Linked DNA regions of Oryzias latipes. The main gene of each other region encodes a partner of the protein of the gene in region 7 in a complex. Links are inferred from orthologs where the notes say so. Each region holds a gene or a part of one and is shown on either strand. Other genes may lie near its edges.

Region 1 (3,862 bases), on a different chromosome or scaffold from region 7:
TTTAGAAAAATTGGTAACCCTTTGTTTTAGTGTCAAGCAGCTAATGTTTTTAATTTTAAAATACCTTAAATTTTTTTCCTTTCAACGTGGAAACTTTTAAACTTGATAGAGCTCAAGAATAAACAAACTGAATCCAACTTTTTAATATTTTATGAACAAATACTTGCCTGCTAGTTTATAACAAGTTTGCCAGCTCATGAATGGAAATTACGCATATCTTAAATATTCAGCTGACTTTAGGTCTATCAAATTATTAAAATAGTTCAGCATTTATGTCTTCATCACCAGCATTCCCAACATTGTTTAGCCATTATAGCTTTTTAACAGCTAAGCTATAAAAAAAGCTTTCGAATTCCTTAAGATAAGACTAACCCTAACATTTAAGATATTCTTTTTTTGTTTAGCAGCTCATCCTCCATTACAAAAACACTAAATTCTTGCTGCATCTACAGGAAAGAACACATACAGTAACATTTCGTAAAACCAAACAAATGCACGGATAAAAAGAAAAATAGTTTATTAACAAACAAACATCTCAAAACCAACAGACTTTCATTGTGAATGAACTACAATGGAATGAGAAAACAGGAGGCGCCGCTGTGCTCTGCTCATACTCGCTCCAAAGCCTCCAACATGATGATGCTGTTTCCTCGGATGACCTTCGGGAAGACAAAAGGAAAACAGATCAGATCTTTTCACGTTTACACATTTATTTTTACACAATTGTGTGTTGAATAAGAGAAATGTTCTAGTTTGGGAAAAACTACTAAACCCTTTCCTGAGGCTGTCACATCAGGAAAAACCACGAACCTGCCAACGTTTGGTTTCACAGATATTCACTGGAACAGGCAATTGTTATTTGTTCTTCCGTAAAGACAGGTCAGTTTTGTTTCAGATAAACTAATTAGACATCTTTGGAAAAGCTGGAGTATTGGGGGGGGGGGGGGGGGGGGGGGGGGGCAGTATAATATATTTAAGAGAGATTTTCAGTAGGCATTGAGGCTCCCCTGTTGGTCTGGATGTATTTATTTTAAGTAGTAATGAACTTTTGGCTACACATAAAAATGTGGAAATGTTTTCCAGTAACCCTGCTTTATTTGCAGCTAGTCACGTGGATCAGGTGGATTTCATCAAGCAGAATCTGCAGCTTCCCGATCTAGAAAACCAGTAGCAACTAGAATACAGATGCCTGGAAAACAAACGAGGAAGTCTGTCTTATCAATATAATGTTATATTTACAAGAGAAAGTGGATAGAATAGGTTCTTTGACTAAAGAATTTTGAATAAACTTCGAAACAAAATTTGTTTTTGTAGAAAAAATTAAAAATTAGTTGCCGGAAATGATCAAAACCACTAAATGACCAACTGGGATTGCTTTAATTTATTTACTTTGACATGTTCTTGTGGCATTTTTCTGATGAGGACATATATTTAAAAAAAATATGCTTAAAATTGCTTTTCTGCGTATTTCTTTATTCAAAATGTAGTGAATTAAAAGGAGTTAAAAAAAAAGTAATTAAAACAAAAAAAGTGTATTTGTGAGGTAGAAAATTTTCTTTATCAAAAAGATGATTTTTAGAACATTTACATTTTTGTTACTAACTAGCAGACCCCTAACATATTTTATTGGTTCATATTTCTTTATAGGATTGTCTGGTTTGTTAGGAAAACAGTTGTGCATGTTTTTATAAATCTATGTAGACAGCACTCAAATTGGTTCAAATTGTCAAAAGATGGAATTGCTAATAAAGATAAAAATAAATAAAGAGTATGATCTTTAATTGAACCTATTCGTCCTGCTATTACGGGTGGGGTAAAACATTGAATTAAACTATTCCCTCATGCTTCACAGTTCTGCTCGGACACTGACCACCATCCCGATGGTGTTCTGCTGTCCCCCGGGGCCCATCTCCAGACAGTCGTCCATCACCAGGTTCATGAAGGGGTCGAACCCTCGCAGGATGCCCTGGACGTGTCTGCCTCCATTCAGCTTCACTGAAGAAAACAAAAAGAGCAAACTGATGAACATGAAGGCTGCTAGCTTAGCTAAAAGCGAATTTAATTTCACAAGAAAAAGCCGGCGAATGAATAGAAATATAGTGTAATTTTGAAATATGTATTAAATAATGAAACGAGAGTTTTAACTCACGGGAAAGCTTTTTGTCCATGAATCTGAAAGACAAAAACATTATTTAGATTTAGCTTCAATTCCTAGCTGTTCCGGCTAACGGTGGCTAACATGGAAACATACTACAATCTCGCGAAAAAGACCGAAGCTATCAGGCCTATCATCTTTCAAAAACTTGCAAACTTACTTCTTTAGCTCTGGTGGATGCGCTTTGCTCATGGTGTCTGTATTTTAACGAAACAAAGTCGTGTTTCAATTCACAAAACCGCGTAGGAAACGCGTGTGGACCGGGAGACCGGAAGTAAAACCCTGTGACCTTTGCTGTGCTGCGCCCTCGTGCGGCTGGGAGGAGTAATCTGGTTTAAAAAGGGATCAGCCAAAGGCAAATAATACTATTTGCAGTTAGAAAATGACCAAAACAACTATAAAAATACATGCACATGAAGTGTGTGATATATTTTATATATATATATATATATATATATATATATATATATATATATATATATATATATATATATATATATATATATATATATATAGAAAACCTTAAAAAACTCATTGTATTAATAGATTTTTATTTGTGCAAAAGCACAGCTGATTAGTTTTATTTTTTTTTGGTTGAACATCTGAGCTGTAATGATCAAAAGCAAAAATAAAATCAAACATACATTTAAAAAATGCGACAGTTTGTTTTACTTTTTCCTTTACAAAGGAAGATTGTGAAAAATTCCCAAAACATTTTTCAAACTTTAAATCATCACAGTGACACTGAAAAGAGCCGCTGAAAATAACTTTAGAGAAACAAAACTTTGAGGCGGCTGCTTTTGTTTGCATAGAAAGGAGATACAATCCACGTTTCCTGCTATCAATAAAGACATCAAAAACGTTTTTTATGAAGCAAAGGTTTATAGGAATTCATGCTAGACCCTCAGAAAAATGGAAATCTCATAAATTCGCACTCACTAAAAAAACAAATGGCTGAGATTCAACCCAAAATCTACCAAAGAGAACAGCCAGCCATTCAAGAGGATGTTAGCATCCATTACTTCATATTTCCTCACTAACATGACCTGAGCTACCTTAACTTTAAGAGGTTATGGGAACATTTTGAAACTATGATAAATTTGATAAACTATGATTTTTACTTTTACAAGCAATTTTAAAGAAAAAAGAAAAACAGCTTCATTCATCCTCAGTAGGATGTTGTTAGCAAGTTACCATGGTGATGTGCTCATGGAAAGCTGTCCTGACAAAAAATAAAATGTAAGAATTAATAATTATATATTTGCTGATTATTTGGAAGAAAACAGCACAATTTGACAAAACACATTCAGTGTATTAAAGACATAAATGATGATGTTAATCAGTGCTTTCCCTCTCCAGGAAGTTTAAGTTTTGATGGGAAAATAGCTTTTGAATCTGCCAGGCGTTGATTCAAATTGTAACAACTTTATTAACAAACAGAAAGCAGAAGGCATCGCACTTTGATGAGTAAACAAAAAATCAAATGTTCTCTTCAACCCTGAAGATGATAAAGCAAAAAAAAAAAGGCAGCTGTTGGACACATTCTGTTTCCCATCAGGCTTTGCTGGCCTGCTGTGCCAGCGCCTCCGACTCTCGGTCCTCCTCCACCCGGACCCGCAGGTGCTCCTGACAGTGTTGGAGGAAGCACTCCAGCACGGAGAAGCCCTGCTGGCAGGGCACGCAGTGGTACAGCCTGTGCCTCTTGGA
Region 2 (3,551 bases), on a different chromosome or scaffold from region 7:
GGAAACAAACAGGAGCGAATGAACATTTTTAGATACCCGTATACAGTGTCAGCATAAAAACCACAAACATTGGTCTTATCTCTGCAGCTGTCATGTTGAGCTGCTGCAGTCCTGGTAGAAAAGGTAATGCAGTTTCTTTCTTTGCACATTAAAAGGTGAGGATGCAAACTTTTCCCTCTGCAAATGAATATTTACCAGTGACCAATGTAGCATGAAGCGGCTGCAGCAGCTATGTAGGTCACTGTCCTTCCCAGACTGCGGCGCTCTTGAATGTTATCGACAGGCAGCAGTGAGGGGGGTCAACTCCAGGAGCTTTTCCAGAGTTTTAGCAAAGACATTTGACAAATATCAGGCAGACAGCTGCAGTCTGTGTCATCTGTCAGTGTGCTGCACGCGGATCACCCCACTCAGATTTGGAATATTACCTAGTAGTATGTGAATGTCAACAAAGTAAATGTGCATGAGGTTAATTAAAAAACATGGAGGCAAAGGAGCAAAAATGAGTTTATCAATTTTATTTACAAAAAAATGAAAATAAAACATGGTGGAACATAGCCAAGTTTAACAGAGGAAATACAGTTAGCACTCATGACGCATACAGTACATGAGATGCAGAGACAACATTGTTGAAACATAAAAAAAGGAAAAGGACCTGAAGTTACTGGTCTAGGATATGATTGGTTTTGAAGTCTAGATCCTCTCAAAGTGAATTTGGGGCAGGTCTCTTCCTCTTCCTGCTGCAGCCATACTTCTTGCAATTTATTTTGGTTTTTCTCTAGAACTTGAACTCTTTGTATTTCTTGGCACCTCCTCGTGTGTCCTGTGGCTGGGCCTTCCTCTTTTTTTGCTGTTTGGAAACAAAAAAGACGGAAGTGAAAGTGAATTCATTTTCAGATTACAACTCCAGGGAAAGCCTTTATGTTTTCTTTAATGCAGGATTGCATGTTTGCACCAAAATGGTCCAAATATGTAAGCTAATGAGCTTTACTAATGTTTTTATGAAGAGCCAATGAAGCCTACAACATCAAATCATCCAAATTTGAATTAGAGGATTATTAAGTTGAACAAGACTCCAATAATTTCTGTCCACTCTTTTTATGGAGAATCAAAAGCTGAATGTTTATTACTCTACATTTCCATCTGAAATATAATCAGATCCGTACCTTCTGTTTAGCAGCGTGCTCAGCCACCATGTCGCTGAAGTCCTCCTTCTCCACCTGGGCCTGCTGTTCTCTAACATGCTCCTCATACTTCTGCGTCATGGCCATTGGGTCAAGCTCCAACTCCTCAGGAGCCAGGGCCACCTCCACGCCCTGCGACTCCTGTCCTCCACCTGTCTTTCGGCTTACCATGGCCTGTAAGCAGCAGAAAAGGGGAAGAATAAACATTATTATGATGGAGTTTGTTAGATCATCTTTTGATCCATAAAAAGTGTTCCCTGTGGTCTTTCAATTATGATTATGCAGTTTTTAGCCAAAATAAATAAGCCTGTGTTGTTTGCTAGGGCATAATTAAAGTAGATTGGCAGGAGTTCATTAAAAATTCGCCACCGAGTTGTGGGCGGGACCATTGGTGCAAGCAACCCCGTCCCCGCTTTCCCCTTCCTGTTGCTGGGAGCTCGGAGCAGGGGGCTTTTGGCCCACCCAGTGTATTGTCTATGCCACAGATCGTCAAAAATAAAGTAATACTCATTTGTAATGCTTATTTCTTCTTATGTATGTCCTACATCATAAGAGGAATGCCACAAGAACATTGTGAAAACACATAGTCACAAACACATGCGGTCTTACCGTGGACATGTCGTAGATGTGAGTGGAGGCCATCATGGCTGCACCGACAGGCCCAGTTCTTCTCTCTGGGAGAACCGTAAAAAGCTGAGGAGTCTCATTCCTAGAAAATCAAAAACATTTGAAAGTGTTTATACTCACAGTGACATATTTCAATAGCTGCCTTTCCATTACACATATGCAAAAAAATGACAGAAATGTAGAAATACACAATTTCACAATTACATCGTTTCTATTAAATCCTAATTATGCAAATAAACACAAACCAAGTCACGTGATAAGTCATTCAAAAACATGGCAATGGATGTGAGCAATACTTTAATGCATCTTCAAATTTCTGCCAAGGCACTAGCGCTCATCATCTTCGCCCCAGTCGCTGCAGAATGTGACACCTGCTGGTGACATCACGTGCAACTGGAATTTTATGCCCGTACTGCAGTCACGTCACTTAACCTGAATTTATTTCAAACGACTAGAGTATGTGATTAAGGAGCAAAAATGTCTTTTTAACACTGAGGATGATGAAAACTTAACTGAAAACAAAGGAAATATCTAACTTCACACACACACATAGAGAGAGAGACAAAGAGAGGGAGGGGACAAGATAAATAATAAAGCAAAACTGGAAAGATGTTATTTACATTTAGACTAGAGAATGCAATTCGCCACTTTTTTCGCAGTATGGCAAACGACAAACAACATCATAGCACAGATGAAACAGCAAGCGACAGCATGGCTACCGGTGAGAGTGGGAAGTTTTTTCCCAAGAAAGGAATAAAATCATCTGTTTGGAATTGGTATGGGTTTACTGCCACAGACGTAGAAGAAGAGACCCCACGCTGCAACATTTGGCTAAAGCCCATTGCAGTCAAAGGCAGCAGCACCACAAACCTATTCCAACACCTGAAACGAAGACATCCAAAAATGCCAGTCTCTTCGAGGCGAACAAAACTGCAGTGACCAAAAAATACATAGCTAAAAACCCGCCAACTGTAGCCGAATTCTTTGCACAAGGCACCGGCGTTTGTACTGATTGCTTTCCTTAAGTGGGGGGGGGGGGGGGGGGGGGGGGGGGGGGGGTTGTGAAGAAAAAAAAAAATCAGAAGAGTTCATTTTGAGCAAATAAAAGTATTCCTGCATTTTCCAACAATGAAATTATCAAAATGGATAATTCTATGTTCTTAAATGAGCCAGCAATCTGAGATCTAAGGAAATCTGGTCATTGCTTTAAGTGAAATACAAGGAAACAAAAGGCTAATTGAGATAAAATGTAAAATTAATTAAAAACATTTAGAAAAAATGTTTGGTACAACATTTAAATTGATTAAAAATGAAGACTTCTTCACGAACAATACAATAAAAAAAAAAAACTATATTTTGATACATTCATGCATCTCGGACCGTTCCTGTAAAACTGCTCTCTGGGCACCGGCCCCACCTAATCCATGAAAACAAGTGGGTCCTCACATTATGATGTATTAAAGTGAGGAACAGCCCCTTCCAGGATGAGTCTGCGGTGCAGATCGGCTAAACATTTTCCTTGTAAATGCACAATTTGCACATCCATCTTTGCAATAGTTAGAACGTGGCTTGTTTTCGGGGGCGAGACGCAGCCACACTGCCATGGCCGTTGACATATTTAGAAGAGGATTCACTTGTGTAACGGAGTGGCTCCCAACCTCCTTAGACTGGTGTACCGTGGGAAACTGATTTGTCACATCATGTACCCCCCACAAATGTATTCATAGTCCTTAACAAGAGCTC
Region 3 (4,126 bases), on a different chromosome or scaffold from region 7:
TGGGCTCTCTTTAAGACAGTAACCTGGTTTGGAAAAGCACAATCTGCAGCTCAAATTCTTTTTAAAACTTTTTTTTAGAAAAGGAATCTCTGCAGCAGTACACCAACTAAACCAGAGCAGATTTCACACAAAAAAATTTAAAAAAAATTTAAAAAATGTAATCTGATAAAAGCAGCTGCACTAAGTGTCAAAAACGTGACACCAATGTAGAAAAGAGAAATTTGTGAAGTGAAAAAGCCCCCCACTTCCAATAACACAATATGTTTTACAAAAAAGATTCTTATTTTAAAGATATATTTTACAAAGACATTTATTTAGATTTCTTTAATTTATTTTAAATAGTAATTGCACTCCAGGTTGTAGAAGATACTGGTCAAAAACTGAAATTATGCTAAATAATCTACTAATTAAAAACATTAGTGTCTCATTACAAATGATTACTAATTATAAATTAAAAATGCTGTTACCTGCAGTCTTACACTTATATAATTAAATGTTAGTATTTTTTGTGGTGCAAAGAAAGAGTATGTGTCTGTGATGCCTTGCTTTGGAAATAAAAAGGGCTACAAAATAAAAATAGTTGTATTTTTCCTATTACTAAAGATATTTAAAGACAAAATTTCCTGTTAATGAAATTATGGTTTGGCTCCAATGTTAATTTGTACTTAAGGACAGTACAGACATGTTTTCAGTGTTTTTCTTAAACTTGATTACAATCAAACGTCAGCGTCATTACGCAAGGACAACAATCTCCAACGTTAAACACATAAAAAAATATTCTGAATATATAGACTAAAGTCTATATTTGCGTTATAACTTTCCTATTGTTTTATACAAAATAAGAAAATAGATCACCTGTTTATGTAAACAGTGGCAAGTCCAACAATGATGCTCCCGAACAGAATAGGTTTCGTGAGCCTTTTAGCTGCAGAGAGCTTGTGAGGCTTCATTGCTGCAGAACTTTAAATCAGAAGGTTCACGGCATAGAATCCAAACAGCAACAGAAACGTGAGTTTGTTTTCAGCTGACCTTCCTGCGCGTGAGTTAGTTAGCTGAAGGGACGTTGGAGCGCCTCAACTTCCGGTCCAGCACTGACGTCTATGTCGACAAAGAAGTACCGACTTCCGTTTGAGAATTGAATTTCGTAAAGTAATTTGCTTTTATCGTCTATGACAAAAAGTAATCATTTAATTAAATTAAATCAAAGTGATTTATTACCGAAACATTATAGGCCTAATTATTAAAAATCACAACGTTTTAAGTGATAAAATAAATTGACAGCTCTTTTTTATGTAAGAACAGCTTAATTCTACTTTTGGGTTTCATTTTTAATTGTTATTCTGTTGCGTTAACAGTTCATCCAGTCTTCAGAAGAAGAAAAAAAAAGAGTCACGAAACAATATCCCGGAACCACTGTCCAAATTCTAATTTAAGCCGGACGTATTTGAAAGACGGACAAAATGAACGAACTACTGAAACCAAATGCATAAATGAGGATACTATTTCAAATGTATTTTATTTTTTTGTTTTAATCGCGCGTTTGTCTTCTTAAAAACACAATATAAGATACTGAATGATGAAACGGAACTTTTCACCCGAAACCTCTGACCGGTTTGAATATTTACAGGCTCTTGTCACAGAGTTTCAGGATAGTGACAGTGAAGGTAAAAACACAAATAGCTCGCAGATTCATTTAGAAAAACTAAGAATTATTGCTAGTTTACAACAAATTCTTTGAAATTAAATTGTTAATGCATAAACATTGTAATGAAAGCATGTCTTACTTATATCAATCCATGATAGTCACTTTATATATATATATATATATATATATATATATATATATATATATATATATATATATATATATATATATATATATATATATATAATTATTTTTTTATTTTTATTTATTTTATTATATATATATATATATAAACTACAAAAATTTAATTTTTAAAATCTGAATGCTTAGAAACAGGACAGATTATTCAGGAAAAAAACAATGCATTTATCTTTTAAGATTTTTTTTTTTAAATAATTATGCTTTAGTAATTCTGACGATCATGTTTGAATACTAAATTAAAAATGCATAATGACGTTTTTTAAAAATCAATAAAACCAAAATTTAACAAATGCCATTTAATGATTTATGCTGATAGACTTTTGCAGCCTTTTATATGCAATATATAAAGGATCAAACTACATATTATTGTCCGTCAATAATTTTTTAGGAATGCAGGTCTTTAGTCTTATTTTTAATGTTGAGGTGTAAAAAAGCGCCCTCTGGTGGATTAAATTTATCTTGCTTTTGGTCCTTGTTCCCGTTTCAGTCATTAATGTCCAGTATATGTAATTTAATTGAATTTGAATCTGATTCTGTGTTTTTTATTTATGTTCTGTTGTCGTTAGAGGCAAAGGAGCAGGTTTTGGCAAACCTCGCCAACTTTGCTTACGACCCAAAGAACACAGAGTATCTGCGACAGCTGCAAGTGACCGACCTGTTTCTGGATATGTTGACTGAGAAGAACGAGAACTTTATTGAGTTTGGAATGGGTGAATCTTTTTAGATTATCATTTGGGTTTTTTTGTACCATAAATGCAGTGAAAAACATTTTTTTTGGTCTAAATTTTCTCAGGTGGGCTCTGTAACCTCAGTATGGACCCAGACTGCAGGGACCTCATCCTGGACAGTGACGGCATCAGCTTAATCACAAACTGTCTGTCAAACCAGAGGGAGGAGACAGTGCTATCAGCAATTACTACCCTTATGAACCTTGTGACTCCAGCTTCACAATCTCAGCTCACAGAGCCAGGCATCTTGCAGTGCATGCTGCGTTTCTCTCTTGCTGAGAGTCCCCGGCTGCACAACCTAGCTGCTGTGTTCCTGCAGGACTGCTGCACCAAGGATCAGGTCAGGCAGGCCGAGCAGCAGATGCAGGGACAGCAGATGGCTGTTGGGATCCCACTACCCAAAGACTAAAGACTTTGCTTCACAGTCAAGTGGAAACAAACAGTGACCGTTTTGGTTTTATGATTGTTTAATTTCTGGTGTTTTCAGCAGATGTTGAACCGATCTGGAGGATTTCCTTTGAACAAAATCCACCCTAAAGTTGGTTATGAAGAGAGGAAAATTAAGCTGCTTGTCCAGGTCTTGCACCTCCTCTCATTTGCAGCTGGAGTTTGCACAGGACTCATGTCTTCACTGGATCAGAATCTGAATATTAAGATGGTTTTTGTATGTTTTTAAGCACAAGTACATTTATAAAAGTAATTTGAAATTTGCTCAAAACAGGCTTCCAGCAAAATGAGTATATTTGTTCTCATGGAAAAATGGTAAAGATGTGTTTTACTAGACAGAAAATAATTCCTTTCAAATGTTGGACACCAACTGAAAAGGTCAGATACTCATCAAAGGAAAAATGAGGGAAAGTTTGTCTGTAGTCGTATTAGATTTAAAAAAAAAAGACATATAGAAACCCAAGTTATCCTGCTTTCATGGGAGGAATACGTTTCTACCAACTGTCACTAATCAGCAGAAATACCAAACCTCATGGAAGCCTAAGTTTGTGGCTTTCTTAGTCTGGATAATTCAGGTGTCTTTTATTGAAATAAAAAAAATCTACAGAAGTTCTGCCTTCGTGTGAGTGTTTGGCTCTCCTCCCTTTAGTCCTGACTTGGGCGGCATGATATGAGGAAAATTTGCAACATTGGTGATCAATATTGCGATGACAATATACTTGCTACATATCAACAAATAGCAAAAACAGCTGCATTTTAATTTTACAACAACAAGGGTTAACCCTTGTGCTATCCTAGACATTTTAACGTTGGGAGTTGGGTCATCTAGACCCACTAGACAGTGCGCTAAACCTTTTTTCTTCAATGATTTGTGATCTTCACTGGTGTCAATGGATTACATGACATCTTTCCACCTTTATCCACATTTGTCATGGTAGGGAGAACACGTCGATGTAAGGGTGGGGTCATCTAAGATATCACAAGGGTTTCGTAAAATGTAAATAGTTTCAATTATTTACACTCCAAATGACCCTCGTCTACCTATGAGGCGAGCATCTAACATAAAAGGGCTCCATCCGATTGGTCAAATGCACAAAGGGATTTA
Region 4 (4,168 bases), on a different chromosome or scaffold from region 7:
AGCCTTTGGGTTTCACTTGAATAGCAAAGTTTGACAAACATCTCAATAAATAAATATTTTATTTTTGCCCATTTAGTTGTTGTTTCACAGCAGTTTGGGTTGTGCATATATTCAGGCATAATTTTTAGCTCAGGGGCTATTTTTGACCACTTCATCAAAACCTGCAATATTTGGGGCACAACATGCAATTCTGCAATCAATGTAAAACCTTGTATCCACTTCTGCAAGCCGAGTGCTTGGGGCTGGGGTCGAGGTTTGTAAAAATATGGCTTTTGAGGTTTGAATTTCATCACTCAGTTCAAATACTTTACAGACATAAACAAACAGTTAAGTTAACCTATTCCTATACCTTTAAATTCTTTGTATCAGTCACCAGGAACCCTAAAAAAATTACATTTACATCAAAGGATATTTTATAAATTAAAGTGTGTAGTGAGAAGATAATAAAGGACTTGCCAACATGTGTACATTTATATAAATGGGCATCTGTTATGGAAGCACAAACATATGCCAGCACAATGTTGGTTATAGTAAAGATTTACAAAATTACAGACAAATTTATATCAATATTATGACTGAACATAAAAATGAAAAACCTACTTAATACTGTTCTGCTTTAATATGATTTTTGGTTCTACAATACATTGTAGTGTTAATTTTTGACATGTTACCTTCAATTTGTATTGAAGAAAATAAAAATAGAGTTTAAGTGCACAACTATACCTTTCTTGTAAGCACAGCCCTGGCAGTAGTGCGATCCAGGCTGATGAACAGAGCTCTTGCAGATTCTGCAGATGGCAAAGCCCGTCTTACTGTAAGGGTCGAACCTGAGAAAAACCACAGTTAAACATTGAGAATTAGCAACATCAAAGAACCTTAACAGCAAAATAAACCACTAGTGCTTACAGAAAGCTAGAAACTACTACACTGCCATTTGATTTATGAGTAAAAGTTTTTTCACAGTGCAATACTCACCTGGCCTTCTTAGATGTCAACATCTTGTTTTCATTTAGTTTACGGCCTCCACTCTCTAAGAAAAATAAAACAACATTGTGAGATTATATATACACATGTATGTACATACATACATACCAGTGGCGATTTCTTTAAGACTGCAAGGGAAGCTCTGCTTCCCTTATAATGTCACAAAATAAATGGTCAAATATGTACTATTGTATTGTATTGTATTTTATTTTATTAACATTTTATTGACTAAAAATGTGTAAGAAAACGTTCATCTCAAAGACGAGTTCGTTAAGAATCAGTTACATATAGCAAGTCGCCTGACTCGATTTCCTTCTCATACATTCCCGCAGCATCACAGTGCATTTCTCTAAAGAAGCCCAGCGTCCATTGACTTCAATCGGGCTGCTTTGAACATTTTTTTTCTGCGCTTCGAAACTAGATGGTCATTGGATAAACGCTGTGATTATGTCCCGCCAACGGATGCTCAGCGTCTCTGGGGGTGAGTGGGGAGTGGGCCAGCCCAAACTCCGAGCTTCTCCGTGATGATTGAAGGGTCTGTTAAAAGACCGCCTTCTGACTGAAGCTTTTCGCTTATTCACATTTCTCAAGTTCAGTCGAACTAAAAACTGCTGCAACCTATTTCTTTGATAATTGCTGGGCTAAATTGCTTGATTTTCATCATACATTTCACACAATTATACACCACATTGATTGTTTCAGTTTTACAGAGTTTAATATTTTTTTTTAGATAGTTAATTCTTCCCTTTGATTCAGGAAGACTGAGGTCAGAACTTCAAGTCCTGTTTTCAGATCAGGACTTGCAGGGTAACAGGGGAAAGCTGTATGATTACTTGGTGTTCCTTAAAGACATGGAGTTGGACAGTCCAATGCCTCAGCTTTACAAACTGTTCTCATTAGTGGCAACAATTGGAGTTACATCTGCAGGTGTAGAAAGGAGCTTCTCCTGTTTAAAGTGACTTAAGTCCTACACCCGAAACACAATGGGCTAAGGCTGTTTAAGCAGCCTAGCTCTGCTGGCCATTGAGAGGACATTGGTCAAGTCAGTTGAGACACCTAGTTGGTACGACAGGGTCACAGACCATTTTCTTGAAAAGGAACGTAGGGCATAAATACTTTTAAATAAATAGACAATTTTATGATGTAGGCCGAAAATGAGCCGACAGACAGACCGACAGACAGACAGACCGACCGACCGACCGACCGACCGACGGGGAAAACAGATATGTAAATGAGTACTGTTCTAATAAATATTTTAGCAGTAGCTTCTCCTTCCATCGTTTCGATTCCTTAATGACGTTCATTTACAAGACAGATTTTTTGGGGGCAACATATTTATTTTACCTGTCGTTCCACGATTGTCTAAATTATTAAACGTGTAAACATTTTTGGATGTTTTTGGATAGAGACTACGTTACCAGTCGTATTTCGTGCTCCATCCTTCCAAGTGTCAGGAGTGATGACCTTTCCGAGCTTCTTTTCGCCTAAAATATTAGGAAATCCCACATTAACAAAGAATTATTAATAATTAACAAAGCTAACTACGAGCAAGGAAAACCAAAACAAATGCTAGCATAACAAAATATTAGCCACTCAACAAAACAACAAAAATGTCACTAACTAACTATATTAACTAAGTCATAAGTGTAAAATTATGTAAGAAACAAGGCGAAAGTGCGATATTTACATTTTTCACAAACCATCTCAGCTGCGTTTACTTGGCCTGTCTTGATATAAAATGTGTACAAGCGTTCAAGCTAGCTCTGCTCATGTAACTTCCGGTTGTCTTCGTCAACTTGTACAAACAAATCTCATTGGGTAATCCTGTCAGTAAAACGTTATGTGATTCGTTCACTCCGACTAGAAGCGCATTTCTAAAATCCAGAATAAAAGTAAAATGAGAGTAACAATATTTTCGCCACGGAATCAGCACTCGAAAATATAAATTTCACTTTAGAAAATAGTATTTTATTATAAAGTGTTGAATATGATTTAAATATGTTGGGTAATGTATGTCAAAACAAAGAAATTGGTAGAAATTAACAATCAAAAGAGAATCTTCTGTTTTATTGTGAAACGCAAACGGAAATTGCTTTTTTTTTTTCATATTTACGGAAGCGTAGTCATACATGGATTTGCGTGTCCTTTCGCCTACCAAAATTCTAAGACACCTCTACTGAAATTATCTACATTATTCTATTGTCTTGTTGTGAAAAGTGAAAGTCTTCATCATGTGGGACCACGAAATCAGAGCCATGGTGTCGACCCACGCTCTGATCGCCGCTTCGATGTTCATGGCTACGGTGCTACCTGCAGTTTTTGTTCTAAGCTTCTCGGTGTACGGCACTCACCTGTTGTGGCTGTACTGCACATCCGGTGCTGTGAATGCTGTCAGTGTCGTCGTCTTCTGGCTCCTCGGCGTCACACCGTCCACTAAAAAAAATACACTTGGATATAAGGTCAGAATGTCTTCCCTCGGAAATGTCTTTATTTTGTCCAAACCCAAAGAAATGTGCTTGATTTGTTTAAGGTTTTTGCCAAATAGTCATACGTATATGAGAGAAGTATCAGAAATAATTATTACACAATTTAAAATAATAGAAAACTAGGTTTTTCAAAACAATTAATTCCTATTATTTACTCGTAAACGTTTTGTCTCGTTTTTAAAAAACAAATTTGCAAATGGACGTTTCAGTAATAATTAGAAATGTGTATTTCTGATTTGAACACATTTTTAATTGAGTTTATAAACATTTGCTACAGTGCTTTATTTTCACGTTAAACATTTTAAATTCATATGACAGTCTATATGCAATTGTTGCTTATTAACATTTTTCTGCTACAACAAACTCATATAAAAAAATAATTTTTCTGAGCTTTTACATATAAAAATTGTTCATTTTTTAAGTGGATTTTTCTCAAATGTCTACGTTGTAACTTTTTGGTAATAATGATAATCCTGTTTCTTTCCACAGCTTTCCAGGCTGTTTCGTGCCTGTCTGTACTTTTTCTTGTCATGTCTGTTCTTCCACACTGTGATTGTCCTTTATGGAGCCCCGTTGATTGAGTAAGTCTATTAGAAAAAAATCTTTGAAATTGTTTTTAAAATGTATCTGTAAAAAAGGGCAGATGTTTTCTGCATGCAGACAACTTTAGTGCATTCTCCTCTGTTTGACCAAATCAG
Region 5 (3,972 bases), on a different chromosome or scaffold from region 7:
GGCTTCTCATGGAAGCTTTGTTTACAGGAGGATGTCAGCCAGCAGGGGGAGCTCTTCTGCTGAGGAGAGAATGTATCATTCTCCTCTCTTTACTCCTCCATCTATCTTCTGGAGCTCTCCTTGTCCGCCTCTCTCCTCTTCTCTCCTCTCCTTCTGTCCTCCCTCTCTCGTTCAGTCTCTCTCTTACTCTCCACATCTCTGTCTCTCCTCTTCTCCTCCCTCCTCCTCTCCGTCTCATTGTGTCCGTTCTGTGACCCCCCCGTGGCGTACTTGTCGTACGCCGTGTCTCGTTTTTCTTCTTTGACTCGGATGGGAGGTGAGGAGGAGGAAGCTCGGCTCTTCTTCTTCTCCTTCTTCTTTTTCTTCTTCTCTTTTTTGTCTGCAGCAGAAGAGTACAGGTGAAACTGACCCTCCCCCTCATAAATGACAGAACAGGAAGTGACCTCACCTTTTTTGGGTTTTTTCACAGGTATGACGAGCTGCTCGTCATCCTCAGAGGAGGACGGGGGGGCGGCAGGGCCCGTGGGGGCGCAGCCATCCTCCCTCAAGCGTTTGGTGACATCATCGATGTCCTCGCCGTCTTTGGGGGGGCGGTAGTTTTTTACGTGGTCTACGCGAATGGTGCGTCCTTTGATCTGGAGGGGAGAAAGAGCTTCATCATTAAGGATGCTCACAGTGGCGCCGCCCCGGGTGGGGGGTGGGGGCCTCACCTTGATGCCATTGAAGTTGTCCACAGCCAGGATGGTGCTGCGCTGGTCCTCGTAGCAGATGAAGCAGAAGCCTTTGGACTTTCCCGTCTTCTTGTCGCGCACCAGGTTGACGTTGACGATCTCACCGTACCTGAACGGACACATCAGTAAGCGGTGTGTGCCCCCACCCCACCCCAAAGCGAGGCTGTGGGTACGTACTGAGAGAAGACGCAGAGCAGGTCCCCCTCTGTGAGCTCGTAGGGGAAGCCTCCTGCAGGATCAGAACAGACGTCAACCACCTGCTTTCACGCTTCATTTACTGCAGGTTCCTGTGAGAAGCTCCGCCCCCTCACCCACAAAGATCCAGGCGCTGTCCCGGTACTCGCTGTGCCACGACACCTTCTCGTTGACCCCGAGGTCGGCCTCGCGCTCGTTCAGCTCGTTTATCAGCTTCACCTTCGTCAGAGGACTGAAACAAATCAACCGGCAGGAAACTTTCAGTGTTTTAGAAGACAGCAGTCAAGATTCTGTTCATTTAAACAAAGTGAAATAAACCTGAAGGTCAGCTTTCTAATATTCATGTTTCATCAATTTATTTTTTTATGCACCATCTCAACATAATGAACATTATGAAGATTTCAACCATATCTTCTTTGTCTCTTAGTTGCTACATTAATCATCCAGCTCTCTCCTCTATCGTCCCCACCAACAACCCTCATGCCCTCCTCTTCATCCATGAACTTCCTCTGTGGTCTTCCGCTAGGCCTCTTTCCTGGTTTCTGTAACCTCAGCATCATCACTGCTGCTCCTCCAAACCATCTCCATCTGCATTCATGTCCCAAATATCAACCATGATCTGCTCCTCTGATGGACTCATTCCTGATGCATCCTGGTCTCTCCCAAAGAGAACCTCAACATCTTCATCTCTGCTACCTTCAGCTCTGCCTATTGAATCGATATTGGAAACCACCGTTTGGATTGAGACCTGGTGAGGTCATTTTACTATAACATAAAGGCTGTGCCCCAAGTTCCCACCCTAACATAAAAAAAGAAAATTGCAAAAACTGTTCGACGCAATGCATTGTGGTTTATATTCACTCGATGCACACTGCTTTTTCGCAGAGACTTCTGGGAAATTTCTAGGGCACTCGACTTTGAAATTGTAGGTTCGGACAGCACTACAACATGGTGAATGTTGTGCACTATATAGGGCAATATATAGTGCACTACATAGTGCCCCCTAGGTAGTGAGTATTGAAGGAATTCAGACACAATCAAAATTAACAGAGTGCATTACAGCAGACAAAAAACATGTAATTTCATCAAAAACTGATCAACCATCATTCCAGTCCAAAACTGAATTTAGAAAGTCATGTGACCACACAGTGTGCTAGAATGTTCCCTTTGGATTCTTTGGATGTGGAAAAACAACAGTGGGCTGAACTTCAGGAAACTAAAATGTGGATGGATTTGATTTTAATTCTTTGTTTGTACATATTTAATTTAAACTTGATTATCTTGGAAGAAATCTAAGGAATCTGGAAAACTTCACATTTCAGTAGCAGGTATTTCTCGCTGAGTCACACTGGATGATGTTTTGGATAAAGATGTCCTGGATCCATTAGGTCACTGAATCGGATAAAACGAACAATTATCGAATGATTGAATCACATCAACAACCACTGATTGGTATGCAATCGTTACACCTCTAAAATGCAAATACAATCAAACGCAAGTACGAATTCAGTAGGTGGCTATTCAGTACCTGGTCTATTAAGTTTAAAAAAATCAAATTTGATTTTTTAGAAGTTTTTAGAAGTTTTTGAAGTTCTACAGTGGAGAATTTGAATGGAAATGGGGAAAAGGCGACACACACGAAACATAAAGCCTGCTGCTATCGGCTGGAATCCGCTCAACAGGAAACCAACGACCAGAAAAGGGATTCTCTACCAAATGAAAAATAAAAACTAATGTAATGGCTGTAGAGGGAAACGTTTACTTACTTCATGGTGAGCTCGAACAGCAGCGATGTTATGGTGCCAAAGACCAAGCGTGGAGAAGTGGTGCACTTCCTGTGGAGGTTCTGCGTGTGCTGCCGCCTGGTGGTTGGATGACCGAACTACAGATGAAATGAACGAGAAAACTGCGCGAACGCGAAGCGTCTAACACTGCCCGAATGCTGCTTTTAATAAACAAGAAATGTATTTATTTTATTTTTGTAAGAAATTGTGAAATGCTGAATGTTCTGTCTGTAAAAAGCAAGCGTCCAATCTTTCCGCCTGCACGACAGGTGGCGCTAACAAGCTAACAGTTCATTTTTAACAGGATGCAACACTTAAACCAGACAGTGGACGTTTTAAAGCGTGTTGTGTTTTTCAAGCTTTTAATGTTTAAATAACACCCTTTCTTAGAGTCGACATCATTGCAGGAGATTTTACGTGGAACTGGAAAATGATTTGTAATTCCACGTTAGCATGGCTTTAAAACACTTAAAGTTCAGTTTAAACGTCTGAACTGTGTCATCTTTTCAGGTAAATTCAGTTTTCCTTCGACTTGTCTTTACCCTATTCCGCTTTACTCAGTGTCACCTTTAACACGTTTGAGATTAATGTGTGACGCACACCTACAGTAGCACACACCAGACAATCTGATTGTTTATTGTTAGTTTATTTTTTTCCTCATAATAACTAGTTTCATGCAGTGAATATGAGATGCTGCTTGTTTGTCATTTCCCCCATAAACAGGGGTTTTCTCCTTTATTTCGGCTTGACTGCAGTTCTGCAGACAGACTTGGACGTGTTCCTGCAGATGTTGTTTCTGCAGATGTTGCAGTGGCACTGAAACTCCCCCTAGCTGTCCCACCGGGGTGAACTGTTGCCCCGACAGTCCTCTATCCTCTGCAGGATGATCCGGCAGCTCTTCATCTTGTCCTCGAAGGGCGACCCCCTCCTCTTCAGAGACTGTATCCTTCTCAGCTCTCACCTGCTTCTGTTTAAATCATCCTGCTTTGAAGTTCAGTTCTGCTATACAGTGAAAGATCTCCCCTTTGGGACAGACTTACTCTAGCAGGGGTACTTGTACTTGCCCATCTGGGGTACATTTTTTGCATCAGTCAGACACAGGTGTTTTAAAGTTGTTATTTTCAATGGTGATGGGCTTCTCTGAAGGCCTAAAAATTATCTGAATCATGTGTTAATTAGAGTTCGTCCATGCATTCTCATTAAATCATTCCAAATGGTCTGTCCATTCCTCTTTTAGTGTGTTTATGATGGTGATGCTGCTT
Region 6 (3,500 bases), on a different chromosome or scaffold from region 7:
TTCATGATAATTGTGTATTTTATCTAATATGGTTCCAAAGTGTAGCATTGTCATTTTTGATCCAAAGGTGTGAAACAAGAACATTTCTTTAACAGCCTCAGCTCTGACCTGACTCGGAGCCGTCAGAAGGTCCAATCTTAACATTTTCAGACGGAGATTCTCTTCCTTCTGGTTTTTGCTTGAAACCTGAAAATGAGAGTTCTGTAAGTTTAAAATAGTCTGTCTAGATTTCGAGCTTGTAGAATATTTATGTGTTAAATATTTTCGTCACAAAGAAATATGGACTGTAAAAAAACTTTTTCTTGGGGGGGGGGGGGGGGGGGGGGGGGGGGGGGGGGGCAGGTGTTGCTTTAAGGCAAGATAAGACGATACATTTGTTCTCTCATTGGACTTGAGTATACATCCTACCTGAGGATCTCGGCGGGGAAGCAGAGCCCTGGCCCCTTCTCATTCGTGGAGAAGGCGAGCGTTTGTCCTTTCCTACGGGGCTCAAGGATGTGGGGGGACGCTGTTTCCGGGGTGGGGTGGTCGACGTTCTTTTCAGGGGTTTTTTAGGAGAACGTAAACCAGAGGAGCTGCTGCCAGAGGACGAAGCAGAACGAGAGCGCCTCCTACAGACCAAAGGTAATTTTTTTTAATGTTTATTTTAATACAACTTTTAAGGCAATTTGGAACAACAAAAAAACCCACAGAAACCTACGGTATATAGATTTTGTGTCACATTAACACGATAAAAGTTAAATTTATGCATTTATTCCCTTTTTGATTAAGTCAAAATATATGCGTTTCTTTAGTGAGATATTTCTGGGAGCATTAACTGAAGTTCAGACTCAAACTCTGGATGAAAGGTTTTGTAACAGTATAACAAAATCATAGGTGAGCATCTCTGCTATCCGACCTTCGCACAGGGGAACGCCTGTGTCGATGTCTGGGGCCAGCGGGGCCCCGTCTAGGGGGACTCCTTCGACGAGGGGACATCCTCCTTCTAGGACTTTGTCTTCTACGTGGAGAGTAAGATCTGAAAAAGAAAAGAGAAATAAGCCTTTTGCAGCCTAATTTTTTCACACTAATTCAACAAATGATGTCCCACGTTACCTTGAACGGGAGCGGCGCCTACGGGAATGGGAGTGAGACCGGGAGCGGTGGTGAGGCCTTTCTCTCCTCGGATCCCTCTCCCTTTCACGTGACCGTGGTCTGTCCGCTTTTTTATGAGGTTTCTCCGGAGATGTTTCTTTAACCTCCGTTGCTGAGCTCGCTTTAGCGGCCTCTACAGCTGTATCTCTGCAATAAAAAAATGTTCAAGTGTTAATTCTCCACCATTTTAGATATGAATCAAATCAATCTGTCAAAAACAAAACACCACCAACCCTGCAGAAGAAGCTTCTTGAACGACTTGTTGTTGTGCGGCTTTTCCTGATGAATCTGGCTCCAAAGACTGCTCTGAAGGTTTAGTGGGCAGCTGCATAAGAGGGGGGGGGGAGCTGCCGCCGACTGGACTAGGCTTACGCCTGGGGGACCGTGATGGACTGCGTTTCCTTTCTCTTTTCACTGGTGACCTTCGACGTGGTGATGGAGATCTTGTCTTCCGCCTGAACAAAAAAAAAAAAAGAAAGTGTTTCAGTGTATTAAAGTAAGACTTAGGCCAGAACAGTGTATGGTTTTGTGAGACAATCCAAAGAAACATAAGATATAGCTTCACAATTAAAGCAAATGTACATCAAATCATGAATCATCAAATCTTTGGGTCCAAAATTAGCTAAATTTAGCATTTAATTGAAAGCAAAAACATTTTTTTAAAAGCTGGAAATACATTCAAGAATCAAGGGGTTAAGTAAATTCTAATCAAAACACATGGTTGTGAACACATGCATCAGGGAATACAATGTCATAAAAACTTATTTAAAGGGAAGTAAATTTATAAATATAGTTCTAAAATGCATCTGTTAAAGACTTGTCAGACAAGGTCCCAAAAAATTCACAGAAGTTTAAACCAGTCAACATAAACAATGATGATAATTCTAACCGTCTTGGACTCCTTGATTGAGCTCTCTCCCGGTTTTCCTTTTCCTTCTTATCTTCATCCACCTTCCTCAATGAAGCAATCTTCTCCTGTTCAATCTGAGAAACACCAAAAAGCACTGATCATACAGCTGGGAAGCATTGCATTCAGCTAAATAATCACCGACTACAACTTAACCCTGAAATACGTTGCTGTAGATCAATAATGTGACATAGGGGTGATGAGGAAGCGCACCTGTCTCTGTCTGATTTCCTCCTTCTTTTGCTCCAGGAAGGCAGAGGGGATGCCGGCGATGTTTTCTTGGGCGCTCAACAGCAGGGGCCACAGGTCTTTCATGAACTCTCGGGCATTCTTTCCATTCAGGAACCCTGTCAGGTTGATCTGCATCATCTTGCTGTCTGGATGCTGCAACACACAGACATGAAAAGGGGAAAAGAGAAAAAAAATACAGCTGTTGAAATATCTGAAAACAAAATATTAAAAGGAGGCAGGATCCCACAAATGGGAAGTCCTGCCTTCTATCCCTCACTAGACTAAACCTGGATTAATGTAATCATATCAAAACATGTTTAACAGTGACTATCATTTTACAAATATCTCAGTCCAAAGCTGGATTTACTACTAACCAATACAAATAAATCAGTTAAAAATGATAAATTCATACAATTATATAAACTCCATGCAATCTTTTTTAGTTTTAAATATGTTAACGTAGCACAGAAACTCAAATACAAAAATGTGTAATTTATTTTGTAAGTGCTACTTTGCTACTTTCCACTCCCAGTAACGCTATCCAACCCATTTCCCAGTCTCCCCCCCAGGCTACACTTTAGGGGTTCGACAAATTAACCATAATACAGAGTGCATTAAAACCCAACACTGCAAATACAGTTCCGGTGTCTTCAGTGAGTCCCGTGGAACCAGTGGGCACGGAGCTCCCTTGGCTTGCTTCCGCCTCCCTACAGCTTGAGACTCAACCACCTTGAGCTTAATGTTATATCATTCTAAATTGTAAGAGACGAACAAGCAATAATGAGTACACAGCAACACAAAAAATAGATTATTTTTATTTCAAATAAATGAAAAAGTGAGAACATTGAAAACTAGTTCTACTACTGTATTCATTCTTTAAAAAAAACACTAAAGTCCCCTTTAAATTCTAACAGCCCGACCCTCCCACCTACACACTTACATTTCTGGGATTTTTTTGGGCAAGTCCACCCACTTCGGAATTATATCTAAGAAAAACTTTACAAAGACTGCATAGAGACTCGCATTAAAACAGGCATAAACATTCAATTACTACTACTTGACCTACTTAAGATGTATCCTGAACGTCTACCTTTAAACAAAAGTTAAATATAATTATTGAAATGTCAACACACAGAATGTGCTGCTTAGAGAACAAAAACTTTTTTGCACTACGATTTGGTTAAAAATTGCAAATTACAATGCTGTTTTTGCCTTTAAACAAAGGTCT
Region 7 (4,017 bases):
AACAGCAGAGAGTTCTGACCTGCAGACAACTTGACCTCAACTTTCACCGTCGCTGATATCAGCTGAAGAAGGATATGGACCTGAATCTAATGTCTGCAGTCATAACATCGAAGAGAACTATAAACTCTGTTTTGAACCCAGAAGTACGGCTGTTATCAGTTAAAGAAGAAAGACCAACCTTGGACAATCGACAGTTATGGACCCTTTTTACTTTCCCCCTACAGCATTACTTTATTATAAAAAAAATAATAATAAAAATACAAAAAAAATATTTAAAAAAGTAAAACAAATGATTAATGACTTATTGAAAATTGTTAAATTGATTGCCTTTTAATGATTTTATTTCACTTTCTCCAAAAATTGATAAATTGATTCAAAAATCTTTCCTAATGTAGCATAATTTTGCACATGTTTTTAACTTTTGATACTTGATGAAATTTTGCTATGAAAATTCCTGAAACAGTGTTGTGTCTACTTTACTGATATAGTATTATGTTTTATTCATATGAATGGCTTTTATAAGTAACATAATCTGCATATATTTCAGATGACTGATCTGCATTTGCCATGTTGATTTCTAAAATAGTTATTTTTGACGTAATACTTAAGTAATTCATCTTTGTCATGTGCTTTATCGATATCTTATGATTTTTAATTCTGTATGATATAAACTGGGAACCGGATATTGATAAATCATGTAATAAAATGGTTACAGTATAACGGGGTGGGATTATATAAATTCGCTTCCTTCCACTCCCTTTCAAGCAATATTTATTAATATGTATAATTATCCTAAGTTTGATTAGTTACTGTATGAATGTATAACTGATGATTATATTGCTGTTGTGTATTATTTCTACTTAATTGCTTGAAATAAACCATTTCAAATAAAAAAATAAATAAAATTGTTCTGGTTCTCTGTTGTCATCTATTGTTTGTATGTTTGTACCTTGAGCCTAACGCCGACGCTGCATCAACCCAATTTCCCAAGCTGGGATCAATAAAGTATATTTATCTTAAGATCATTTTGTAAGTGATATTCTTGATTCAAATGGAGAAATTCTTCAGTTAAGAGACTTCAAAGGTAAATATGATATTGAATGCTCAACCGAGGAATTTCAGAAAACCTGCTGAGCAATTCCAATTGCTTCAATACATTTAATAAAAAATACAATATTGTCTTCCTATGTTCAAATTAAACTACCAAATTTAGTAATAGGAGAAATAAAATTTAGTGAAAAAAAACGTGATAATAAATTGCTAAACAAATCCTTTAGAGGTAAATTATACCATGACTTTAACAGAAAAGTGAAATATAAAATAACTGAGACACCTGTCACATCAGATGCTCAACTATGGAAATTCATAAAATGGCCAGTGGTTCCCAAAATTAAAGAAATGCAGTTCAAAATTATAAACAATTATTACCCATCGGCAGAGACATTGAGAAGTAGATTTGGCTTTGAGGTTGATCCGTGTGATTTCTGTCAGGTAACCCCAGAAACAACCCAACACCTGTTTTTTTCATGTCCAGACCAGTGAAAGATTCTGGCAAGATTTTCATAATTGGCTTAGTCAAAAAATTAACAACATACAATTCACAGAAAAACATATTTTGTTTTAAAACAGTAAGTTGCCAAAAGAGCCAACAAATAGTGAACATCCTCCTGATTTTGGGAAAATATATTCATAAGCAAAAGTGGAAAAAAGATCGGCCGAATTTCCTGTGTTTTAAAAATGAAGTCAGATTGTATTTATCCTCATTGAAATGTATTCACAACTCAAATTCTTTCATTGATGACATTTGTAAATCTGCTACAGAATGGTTACAAATCTAGGGTCCAGATTGTTGATTGCCTTGTATTTTAATTTATGCTGATAGTTTTTTTTATATATGTATACATTCTTGTTTTTTTTTTATCTTTGTTTTTCGTGAAGAGCTGTGCCTTGCATCATTGTGTTGTTGTGTCTGCCAGAGTTTTGTAATGAGTATATTTCAATAAAAAAAAAAATTAAAGCAAATTTTATGTCTCTAGTCTAACCTTGATTTATCAGCAAGACGGTAATAAAATATCTTAGAACAATAAACAAGATTTACTTGATACGAGTCAGATACTTATACTACTTTTGACACAAACGTGTTAAGGATTATTTGATTTACAGAAACCTCAGATCAAAACTCTTTTGGAGCAACCGGGTATCCCTTACGTTAAGTGTTTATTCCGTAACCGTCAAAAATGAAAACCGGAAGCTAGATTTTCATCAGCGAAAGTACAACAAAAAAATAATGTTGTGAATTGTTTTATATTTAGACAGTTTTACGTCATGAATCGTAGTAAAACCTTCAGACATTTACCTGCTAGCTCGTCTCCCCTGTGGACTGCGTGATCTGTGTGGCCTGCTAGTGCTACTCGGGCTCAGTTTCTCCTGCTTTATCTTCACTTCGGGCTGCCGTTCTGGAGACTCCCTTCTTCTGTCTCGCTTTTCTTTAGTCATTTTAGTTTATTTTTCCAATAAATTTGAGCTCAATTCAACCAAAACACGACACAGTAGCTAGACAAAGACAAGCCAAGATAAAAAATAAAACCTTTGATGCGTTACCAAACTTCTGGCGTTGTGAAAACAAACTTCCGTTTCCGGTGACTCAAATTAATCCCCTCGACGTGCTCCATGTGCTCCCTATTGTTGGTTCCGCCATGGCCTAATTCGTTTTAAATGGGGAAAACGTGATGTTCAAGTTTTTTTTGTCATAGACTGAAGCATTGATGACACATATACGTGTCGTATTACATAAAAAGTATTCTTAAATGAAACTTTGTTCAAATCAATATTATTTTATTTTGAAAAAGTGTCGCCATGACAACACAAACAGTGAAACGGTATTTCTAACAAAACGTGTAACTTGCTCTCTCACCTCAAAACGATGACTTCTTTTGGCGAGTCCCTCTTGAAATACGATAATCCGATATTGGTAAAAACAAAAGGAGATAAAAAATCTCAAAAGGTAAGTCTTGATGGTTAATGATCTATTTAACTGGCGCCCAGAAACTATATCAATTAAGGCTAGAAATCTCATTGTACTTCCATAATTTCTTTATTGTGGACAATGAAAGGCTACCAAATAAAATCTTCAAAAATAATAAAAGAAATTACAAAAAAATAATAATACAAATAAATGTACAATTTTCCCCCCTTTTTTTTCGTTAATAGGGACGTACTCTAACGTTGAGCAACCTTCCAGCTCCCAGCTTTGCAGCAGGTGTTCCATCTCCCCCTACACAGAATTTGGATGAAAACATTTTGCATGCCATCTTACCACCTAGGTAAAAGAAAACCTCAAAAGCTCACCTAAGCACAACGATTCAGATTTATTTATTCTAGATTCATTATTATTTATTCTTCTTCCTAAGTTATGCAGACAAACATAGACTGTGGCATGCACCAGAGCACAATGACCATCCTCAACTTTTATTTCTCAAAAGTCAAATCTGGGAAATCAAATAAAATCAGGCTTTTTTTTTGTAAAACAGATGCTTTTCATGCCATGTAACTCAAAAAACTTTAAACAACACAGTGGAACAGCTACAGTTGGAACAAATGTAGTTTTTATGTGATCCAAAGATCACCAACAAATCCTAATGTCTAACAAGGAAAAGAGGAAAGGTCCTGTAGCTCAGTGAATGTCCAACTTTCATCAACTTAAAAAGATCAAGTCTTGACAGCAAATATTGCCCACAGGTGCATTATCACACATACGTCTGCTTTTTACTTAATTCAAAAATAAAAAGCTGACACACAATCTAAGATCCCGAAAGCATCCAAAAGTTACTGTCAAATGATTTTCCAAGTAAATTCTGATTTCTTACCATTACAGAGAATGGACAGAGGGGGACCAACAGTGGGTGCAGAAAGTATCTACAGCCATTACCACGAGGAAAGATGTCATTCATCTGCAGGAGCAGCTGAACATAAAGCTAAAGCAGAAAAAGGCCAAACCAACTGGCATCTGCCCCATCC

What was found.
Region 1: snip1 (region 7) and snrpg share a complex: the UniProt entries of both Homo sapiens proteins name them as parts of the minor spliceosome. The link is inferred for Oryzias latipes from reciprocal best matches to the Homo sapiens genes SNIP1 and SNRPG.
Region 2: snip1 (region 7) and sf3b2 share a complex: the UniProt entries of both Homo sapiens proteins name them as parts of the minor spliceosome. The link is inferred for Oryzias latipes from reciprocal best matches to the Homo sapiens genes SNIP1 and SF3B2.
Region 3: snip1 (region 7) and armc7 share a complex: the UniProt entries of both Homo sapiens proteins name them as parts of the minor spliceosome. The link is inferred for Oryzias latipes from reciprocal best matches to the Homo sapiens genes SNIP1 and ARMC7.
Region 4: snip1 (region 7) and cript share a complex: the UniProt entries of both Homo sapiens proteins name them as parts of the minor spliceosome. The link is inferred for Oryzias latipes from reciprocal best matches to the Homo sapiens genes SNIP1 and CRIPT.
Region 5: snip1 (region 7) and rbmx2 share a complex: the UniProt entries of both Homo sapiens proteins name them as parts of the minor spliceosome. The link is inferred for Oryzias latipes from reciprocal best matches to the Homo sapiens genes SNIP1 and RBMX2.
Region 6: snip1 (region 7) and srrm1 share a complex: the UniProt entries of both Homo sapiens proteins name them as parts of the minor spliceosome. The link is inferred for Oryzias latipes from reciprocal best matches to the Homo sapiens genes SNIP1 and SRRM1.

What each region holds. Positions count from the first base shown.
Region 1 is NC_019865.2:4,866,768-4,870,629, forward strand, and holds snrpg (small nuclear ribonucleoprotein G), read right to left. Parts: upstream 2,462-3,862; 5' UTR 2,348-2,461; coding exon 2,316-2,347; intron 2,173-2,315; coding exon 2,150-2,172; intron 1,996-2,149; coding exon 1,871-1,995; intron 660-1,870; coding exon 609-659; 3' UTR 501-608; downstream 1-500. Other genes in the region: zinc finger protein Xfin, read right to left, coding at 3,710-3,862. UniProt on the Homo sapiens protein: Plays a role in pre-mRNA splicing as a core component of the spliceosomal U1, U2, U4 and U5 small nuclear ribonucleoproteins (snRNPs), the building blocks of the spliceosome.
Region 2 is NC_019876.2:19,493,338-19,496,888, forward strand, and holds the end of sf3b2 (splicing factor 3B subunit 2), read right to left. Parts: intron 1,891-3,551; coding exon 1,791-1,890; intron 1,356-1,790; coding exon 1,164-1,355; intron 848-1,163; coding exon 776-847; 3' UTR 501-775; downstream 1-500. UniProt on the Homo sapiens protein: Component of the 17S U2 SnRNP complex of the spliceosome, a large ribonucleoprotein complex that removes introns from transcribed pre-mRNAs.
Region 3 is NC_019877.2:19,373,068-19,377,193, forward strand, and holds armc7 (armadillo repeat-containing protein 7), read left to right. Parts: upstream 1-1,326; 5' UTR 1,327-1,573; coding exon 1,574-1,664; intron 1,665-2,412; coding exon 2,413-2,556; intron 2,557-2,639; coding exon 2,640-2,983; 3' UTR 2,984-3,630; downstream 3,631-4,126. UniProt on the Homo sapiens protein: As a component of the minor spliceosome, involved in the splicing of U12-type introns in pre-mRNAs.
Region 4 is NC_019877.2:12,480,875-12,485,042, forward strand, and holds the start of cript (cysteine-rich PDZ-binding protein), read right to left. Parts: upstream 2,801-4,168; 5' UTR 2,688-2,800; coding exon 2,672-2,687; intron 2,469-2,671; coding exon 2,403-2,468; intron 1,031-2,402; coding exon 976-1,030; intron 828-975; coding exon 724-827; intron 1-723. Other genes in the region: pigf (phosphatidylinositol-glycan biosynthesis class F protein), read left to right, coding at 3,216-3,443, 3,960-4,051. UniProt on the Homo sapiens protein: As a component of the minor spliceosome, involved in the splicing of U12-type introns in pre-mRNAs. Involved in the cytoskeletal anchoring of DLG4 in excitatory synapses.
Region 5 is NC_019872.2:23,468,279-23,472,250, reverse strand, and holds the start of rbmx2 (RNA-binding motif protein, X-linked 2), read right to left. Parts: upstream 2,801-3,972; 5' UTR 2,698-2,800; coding exon 2,693-2,697; intron 1,159-2,692; coding exon 1,043-1,158; intron 961-1,042; coding exon 909-960; intron 841-908; coding exon 711-840; intron 636-710; coding exon 449-635; intron 380-448; coding exon 102-379; 3' UTR 1-101. Other genes in the region: ap4m1 (AP-4 complex subunit mu-1), read left to right, coding at 3,594-3,651. UniProt on the Homo sapiens protein: Involved in pre-mRNA splicing as component of the activated spliceosome. As a component of the minor spliceosome, involved in the splicing of U12-type introns in pre-mRNAs.
Region 6 is NC_019880.2:16,881,506-16,885,005, reverse strand, and holds part of srrm1 (serine/arginine repetitive matrix protein 1), read right to left. Parts: intron 2,426-3,500; coding exon 2,255-2,425; intron 2,119-2,254; coding exon 2,024-2,118; intron 1,590-2,023; coding exon 1,368-1,589; intron 1,282-1,367; coding exon 1,096-1,281; intron 1,019-1,095; coding exon 899-1,018; intron 612-898; coding exon 409-611; intron 187-408; coding exon 109-186; intron 1-108. UniProt on the Homo sapiens protein: Part of pre- and post-splicing multiprotein mRNP complexes. As a component of the minor spliceosome, involved in the splicing of U12-type introns in pre-mRNAs. Involved in numerous pre-mRNA processing events.
Region 7 is NC_019874.2:23,603,914-23,607,930, forward strand, and holds the start of snip1 (smad nuclear-interacting protein 1), read right to left. Parts: upstream 2,801-4,017; 5' UTR 2,673-2,800; coding exon of another isoform or gene 2,602-2,672; 5' UTR 2,497-2,601; coding exon 2,357-2,496; intron 1-2,356. Other genes in the region: dnali1 (axonemal dynein light intermediate polypeptide 1), read left to right, coding at 2,924-3,004, 3,211-3,323, 3,875-4,017. UniProt on the Homo sapiens protein: Required for pre-mRNA splicing as component of the spliceosome. As a component of the minor spliceosome, involved in the splicing of U12-type introns in pre-mRNAs. Down-regulates NF-kappa-B signaling by competing with RELA for CREBBP/EP300 binding.